Drosophila melanogaster: one gene and its partner. The protein of the gene in region 1 interacts with the protein of each later gene in a biochemical or structural test. Each region holds a gene or a part of one and is shown on either strand. Other genes may lie near its edges. The genes, in order: Khc and sgg.

Region 1 (3,922 bases):
CGTAGGATCTTCTTCCTAAGTTGGATCGTTCACCTTGATCATTCGATTTTTGCACGGTCTTTGATTGAAAATCCTCTGGCATCGATTTAGTTTGCTCAGTTGGGATAAGATTCTGTCCAGATTGCTCATGCTTTTCTAATGCACTAGCTTTTGAAGAATATGTCTTCATTGGGTCCTGAGGTGGCGGTGCTGTGGCATTGCCTTTTTTGGCTGGCTGAAGCGGCCGAGTTGCCTTTTCCTGATTCCAAGACTTTGAAGGCGGTGCCATGGGCATCTGGGATGGGTTAGTAGAGGCATCTGGGGACTGTGCCTGTACCCACACATCTGTGGGCGCATCCTCCGCATTGATGCAATACACATGCTGTGGCTCCGGATACATAGATCGTCCGTAGTCATTCAGGTAAACCGTTTCATCATATGGAGCGTCTGGTGGAGCTGATCGAGAATAGTTCCTGGCATTCTGATCGACATGATGCGGTTGGTAGTAGTTACCGTGGGCGGGAGGCACAGTTTGATTGCAGTAAATGCACTGGCATCCATGGATATTGCAGCGCTGAACGTCTTGATTTACTTGGTTATAAGTGCAGTAACAACAGTTCGGAACTGGATGGCTGGTGTTATAGTAAGTTTGATCCGAAATCGGTTGAGTGTTGCTGTGTCGATCGGTGGTAGGATTGTTTGCATTGTTCGACAAAGTCCGATCCCTATACTTCTTCTGCAACAGCATTACGTTTAACTGATCCTCGCCTGACTGGCGGCGATTCTTCGTACAGCCGCAGCTTTGATTCCGAACGGAGTCTCCATCGTCGGAGTAACTGCCGGGTTGATTCTGTTGCTTGGCCAACTGGTCTAGAAGTCTCCCGCACACGGCATTATTATTTCGCTTCCAGCTGTCGCAGCACGACTTCTGATTGTCCTCGCCGATTACTTTACGGAACCTGGGCTTCCACTCTCCGCGTTTTTGGGAACATAGTCTGGGACCTGGCCATCTATCGCTGCGTATACCATTGCCGACGGACTCGTAACCATCCCAGTTGTCAGCACCGACGTACACATCATTTTGTTGCGTTTGCGATGAACGCTTTTCTGGGTTGTCTTTCGTGGGACATGAACATGGTTTCCCAGTTCGATACTGTTTGCTATCACTTTTTTGGAATTTATTTGACTGATCCTGTTCCTGATACCGATTAGACATCCTTGGGTTGGTACTGCCGCTTTCTCCGCCTTCTAAAGAGCTCTTACTTCCGAATTGAGGACGACTGCTTTGACCTCTTAGCTCGCACGCTTCACAAGGATCTTCGTCTTCCTCTGGCTTGCAACGAACACAGTACGCAGTGGGATACCACCGATCATTGCCGGACGTAGATCTTTCATGGTGCACACCTAAGAACTCTTCATTTGGTGGCTCAGGCTCTAGAATCATCTTGTAGAAGGTGTACCCGCACCTGGTTTCACTGCAGCTGGGACTTAAAAAAGCTAGAGGCGATATGAATGTGTCCTCCGAAAAATTGGGTGGGAAATGTCCTTCCTTAATGGGACAGTTAGCTTCCTCCTGTGTAAAAATAGAAGATAATGGTTCACTATTCAATATCCAGTGCAAAAACCATCCACTCACCTCCAAGTTTCCCAAGAAATGCAAGTCCTCGAAGTAGGAGTACCTTGGACTATAACTATAACCCTCAATTTGACTATTTCGGATGGCGGCCAATTCCTTGGAGTAGTAGTGCCGCAGACCGAGCACCTGCAGCTCCACCTGGTCAGGAGTCAGGCCGCAGTTCATCCGCCGGGTGATTTGTCGCCAGGCGTCATCCTTCGCAGAACCACTATGGAAACCAGGTGACTTTGGATTCCAGAGGCACTCGTTCGATCGATAAAGTCGGATGAGCTTCTGCGTCTTCTTCAATCGCTCCAAATTCAAATACGACGTAATATCCTTCTGTGCCATCGTGCCCCTCTGTTCTCCACAATCCTTTCCAGCGACTCGGTGATCAATCTTCCATAGCGTTTTCCTATTGAACCTACAGAGGTTGTATGCCTAGTTTGGAGCTATATATTGCGCCCAAGCCGAAATATTTGGACAGGAAAAACAAAAGTGACAATAAACAAGCAATTTTGAATAATTTTTGAATGATTTTTAAACGGTATCGCTTAATTAGGAATATTATATGCCGTTACCATTTTCAAGATCTGCAGGGTGTCTCATACATTCGAAGCTTTTGAGAGTATTAATTCAGTATTATTGTGCAATTAAATGGCGATTGGTATTTAGCTGGGCGAGCAGAACGGTCACACTGGCGCACAGTAGCGAAAATAATAGTCGAATAATAAAATAGTTTTGAGTGCAACTAATTCCGACCTACTAACGTATGCGAGTGCATTTAGCGGCTGCACTTAATCATTCCGGGCAAAAAAGTGCAAAACAGTACGACGCGGAGCAGTCAGAATCGAGGTTGCGCTCCAGCGTTATCGCCATTTGACCAATTCAACTTTTGTGTCTGGTATAACCACAAAATTTTCACTGCATCTTCTTATTTGAGCCGCCCCCAACCCAATTTTCGCGAGTGTGTCGGAATCAGCAGAGAATCGGAACAAAAGGGGCCAAACGGAGTACCAGAATCGGCACAAGCAAACAGTGAACAGCAGATAGTGCGGACGATAGCGAGTCCGTTGATTATCCACGTAAACAGTGAGCTGCATGCGCAGAGGTCGCGCCCAGAGCTGCAGAAATCCAACAATCTCCGCCAGAAAGATCTATCTCCGCCCTGTAAGCAATGTCCGCGGAACGAGAGATTCCCGCCGAGGACAGCATCAAAGTGGTCTGCCGATTCCGACCGCTGAACGACAGCGAAGAGAAGGCCGGCTCCAAGTTCGTGGTCAAGTTCCCCAACAATGTGGAGGAGAACTGCATATCCATAGCGGTATGTGTTCCAGATCTATAGTTTTCGCCAGCCCCCAGTGCCTTTTCCCTATGTGTTATGCATTAATCTCGGCGTGCCGCGCCATGACGTCATGCCTATTAGCGTACATTACCCTTCCCCAAAATTGCCGACCAATTGGAATGCCAGGCGATAAAAAGAGAGAGGCACTAAAGTTACCCATGAATAATTGCACAAAACAAAACTAGATGTACATATACATGTATATGATGAAACCAACTAACTTTACTCCAAATCAATATTGCTTTGCACCAAATTGATTTTCCCCCAGTCGAAAAAGAATAGGGTGTGTAAATCGAAAGAAGCGCGATGACGGGGTGGAGAAATGCCACCCACTAGACGGTTTTCTGCTAAAAGCGGGTGTTCCATTCTTTTGGGCCGCATAAATATGCGCTTTTCTAGTTTCCAGTCCGCCTTCAGTGCTTACCTCACTTACATTTCCACACAAACACATACACACATTGACGGTAGCCCCCGCTCCACTTCCACTCCCCTGTCCGCGCGCCAATGAGTCATGCACGCAAAGCATACAAAAAAAAAAAATATGAGGAAAAACAATAAGAGCAACTTTGGAGGCAATGGAATTTGGCTGTATTGCTTTTATGCCACATGAAATGTTATTGCTTTGTATGCTATGCTGAATTTCCCGCTTTTCCGCCAGGTGTAATCCGTCATATTCCTGGTAAAGCTTGGGCAATTGAACCAGTTCCAAAAAAGTCAGCACTAATATAGTGCCTCCATACACAGACATTATCATTACGCTCTCTCTCTCTCTCTGACTAACTCTATCTATCTCTCTTTCGCTGTGGCTTTCTTCTGGCGCTCGTTATTCACTATTCTTCCCCCTTCCACTTAACATGTCTTAATGCTCATAATTACAATCTGCTTCGCGGCCATGCGTTGAAAATGATTCAAAGGCAGTCAGCGGGAAAAGATCGGGGACAGGGGGAATGAATCTCCGAAAGAAATTTCACCGCAACTGACAC
Region 2 (3,922 bases), on another chromosome or scaffold:
TCGGCGACCTCCAAATGCGTTTTTCGGTTTATATATTGCGTGCACTTGGCGCTGCTCCAAATCCGCCATCCATAATTTATCAATGTTGTTTATAATTGAAGAAAGGCAAATTAAATTTATCTGTAAATTCGGCTACGAAATTCCTTGCGATCAACCAAAATAATAAACTCAGTCTAGCAAGGGCACAGACCTCATTCATGTGCGTGCAATACTTTAGCTTAGCTATTCTCGTAAGGTGGTTGTCTCAATTTATTGTCAAAATTCTGTTCTGCTTTAAATGCCAAAATTGTGTTCAAAATCTTTCGTCAAATATTCCAATAAATTAACTTCAAGGACGGACGGCCATCACCTTTTAGCCTTATTATCATTAAACAAAGCGCTACTTTCGCAAAACCATCGTTGCTATTTTGACTTGACCACAAGTCACTAGAATCAGTAACCATATCGGCCAACAAGAAGGCAGCTAAACAAGGACCCACTCGCGATGTGAAAGTCAAGAGCACGGCCATCGAGAGCGGCCCCTCCAAGCCCCCGCCGGACAAACATCTGGAGCGCCAGTTTGTCCAGTCGGTGAATAGTTAGTGTCCGGTCGCTTTGTTCAGCTGAAGTTATTGCTAATTATTATTAAGTTCTCGTAACTAATTTTGAATTTTCTTCTTCATTTTCTTTCCAGGTAAGTTGACTATCATATTACCAAACTTCCTATAAACGGGTAAGCAAAAGTCTGTTCTCCCACATTGAAGTCTATATATATATATATATGGTGATAACTGCTAAAAGCAAACTTATAGATTGTAATTGTTTTTAAGTGTTTAATTAGTTTATAAGTAAAAGCTACGTATATGTAAAGCTAGCCTAATTTCGCAGAATTTGTAGCTAGTGTTGCCCAAATGGGTTAAGTTACATGAGTTTATGTTATTTTGTTTACAAATGAAATTTGTGGAAATATGTACCAATACAGGGTTTAAGATTTCGATTGTGGCGAACATTTATGGCTGTGGCCTTGGGACTTGCATACTTTCGGGCGGCGCTCGTAATGAACCGGCTGCATTTTTCGATGCTTTCGCAATTAGCGGTGGTTAAAAGACCTCGCCACCCACATCCCCACCTCCCACATTCCCCACCCACTGAATTTTCCACTCTTTAACTCTTCTGTTTTTGTTTTGTTTTGTTGACTCATCGGCACGCGCGCTCTCATTTCGGCCTCTTTCTTTATCTCTTTCTCGGTTACCTAATTTTTGCATAAGTCGCGTCGCCGACACATGAGAAATTCCGGCGCAGCGTACTAACAAATACGCACACACTCGCACACTCGCACATGCAGCTAGCACACTCACGCACCGCATGCAAATTAGCTGTCCGCTGACTAGAAATTCTTTCGCGAGCGCTCTCTTTCCCGCCCCTTTGCTCTGTGTGCTCGCTCGCTCCCCACACGCCGCACACGCTCCCCCGCTTCCTCCCTCGCCGTTCGCCGTCCATGTGACGATCAATTTTAGCGCACATTGGGGCAAATGTGTGGAGCAAGCTGCCAGCGATGCTCTCTTTCGGGTGAGAAACAACATAAATACTTCTTTCATTTAATTCCATTTCCATTTGAGAAGCGAAGCAAAGCTTTCGGCCCACCGTGCAACGTTCAATGCTCCGGTACAGCTGCGGTCAGTCAGTTAGAAATCAAAGTTATATCAAATGTTCCTTGGAAGAGACCAAAAATGATGTGTCATGCCTTAGTAGAGACAAACTTACCTAGAAAGGTGCCTGTATTTATAAACTGGTGTTGACATTTATTTAAAGTTGTAGAAATATTGATTAGTTAGGTGGTCCTTCCGTTGCGAGCGCTGCTGTGCTGCGGGACGCCGGCGCAGGCGCTGCTGCGCTGCCGGCGACGCTGTCGGCTGATGTGAATGTGATGTAGATGCCCATGCTTCGACTCGCTCACTCGCGTTGAATCCATCGAGCAGGCGCGTCGTTCTCTCCTCTCGTTCCGGCGCGTTCCATTCAGCCATTCCGCGACTCTATTTGCCTGTTGTTTTTGTAGCTTTATCAGCGACAAAAAAAAAAAAAAACGAAACGAAACAAATATAAATATAAATAACAACGGCGAAACAAAAAGTGAAACAAAATCGTGACGCGCCTGATTACTTTATTTTTTGTGTCAACAGTGTGTGCAGTGTAATGTGTCTCCAAAAGAAAAATAAAAATTAGAAACTAGTCGAATTCAATATGCATTGAAATCTAATTAGTTGCCGCATTGTTGTTTTTGCCGCCTGACACCATTAGAAAATCACGAAAAGAGCTATCAACATGGCCTAAAGTGACCAATGAATTGGAGTTTATTTCACGGCGTTGTGAAATATGCTCCAACTTTAACCCAAAAACCCACACACACTCATTGCCAATGTATTAATGTTTTTTTTTATTTTTATTTATACTTGGGGGAGATGTGTATTTTTTTAGTGGGGCGAATGTTCTAGAAAGCTCTTTAAAGTACCTCGATTTGTGTGGGAATCTAACGCTCGTTGTTTGCCCCTTCCTCGCAATAGTTGTTTGTGAATATGTTGCGATGTATACGTATCCACGATTTCAGTGCATCTTCACTACCAAATCCAAGAAGAAGAAACTTAAAATTCATCAATGGAAAAGTTTTTGCAATCCCCCTGTCTCGCTCACTTGCTCTGGCCCCCTCAATCGCCGCTCTCTTTCCGCCGCAAGGCGCACAACAAGTGGCAAACCGAAGCGGCGGCGTCGTCTTCAAACCAGTTTTACTGTAGCGTTGTTGTTGCTGCTTCAGCTTACACTGAAAAAATAACGCAGTCAATAACGCAAATTAGTCCATAGCTTGTTGGTACCATTTCGTTTGTATATTTTATAAGCACATTTTGTAAACAGGAATTAATGGAGAATACGCAACACAAATCTAAGGCACGATTTCTAAAAAAGTTTAAATGATGTGGTGATTAATGTTTGTTTATTTATCACGACACTTAAATTGTTCTCTGTGTAATTCTGCGGCTGCTGCGTCTCCGCGATAATTGGTGCGGAGGTTGCCCCTTCAGCCCTCCCCCCAAACTCCTCCATCTACCATTCCATCTACCGTTCCGCCGATCAGTATTTGCTTTTATGGGCAAAAGTTCTTCAATGAGTGGTCACAGCATTTGTGAAGGGAGGGGGGCGGAGGGGGCTGCGGTACGTGCATGCAATTCCTTATTGGCGACAATGTTGAAATGTGTGCGCCTGTTTGAAGGAAAACACCAGAGATCAAACCAATAGCTTTAAAACTTTGATTGCCTTTTGATTAAAGCCATGTGGAACTTAGTGCCATCACCGTTATTGGGCAGATTCTAATTGGTTTTCCAAGTAAGATGCTGAAAATGCAATTTTTTCTCGTAACGTTAATCGGTGAACAGGGAATCCCCCTCATTGATCTCCCAGCGCAGTGGAGCCAAAGTCCTAAGTTTTTTCAGCATGGATGACAGTGCCTATTAGTGTGACCGCTGGTGTTTGTGGTGGCTTGGGCCAAAAGTGAATTATTCATGTTGTTGCTGCTGTCGCTCTGCCAGTGGAAAATTCCCAAAAAAAATTCGCATGAACTGCGCCGGCTGCTCCTCCGCTCCTCCGCTGCCCCACATGCTTCTCCTTCCACTCGTTCTTCTTCTTCTTTGAGTGCCCCCCAAAGGCAAAAAGTCGGAGTCGAAGTTACTTGGTGTGTTAGTTGTTGTTGCTCTTGCCCACTCATTCGCTTCGGTTTTTTTTTATTTTCTTTTCTTGTCTTTAACATTTTTTCTTTTTATAAAAATAGCACAGACGAAGAAATATTTGCACACACACACACACACCACGCACACACGTGTATTGTAGCATTTGCTAATTTTCTTCGTTTGTTTCGCTTGGCGTTTTTTGTTTGTTGATTCGCCTATTGCCTCCG

Evidence for each region.
Region 2: of the proteins of Khc (region 1) and sgg, one has a biochemical effect on the other in vitro, tested with the Drosophila melanogaster proteins (one study listed by BioGRID).

The regions. Positions count from the first base shown.
Region 1 is NT_033778.4:16,270,335-16,274,256, reverse strand, and holds the start of Khc (kinesin heavy chain), read left to right. Parts: upstream 1-2,285; 5' UTR 2,286-2,771; coding exon 2,772-2,918; intron 2,919-3,922. Other genes in the region: CG33017 (uncharacterized protein), read right to left, coding at 1-1,552, 1,616-1,945. UniProt on the Drosophila melanogaster protein: Kinesin is a microtubule-associated force-producing protein that may play a role in organelle transport. Milt and Miro form an essential protein complex that links Khc to mitochondria for light chain-independent, anterograde transport of mitochondria.
Region 2 is NC_004354.4:2,644,703-2,648,624, forward strand, and holds the start of sgg (shaggy), read left to right. Parts: upstream 1-1,934; 5' UTR 1,935-2,169; intron 2,170-3,922.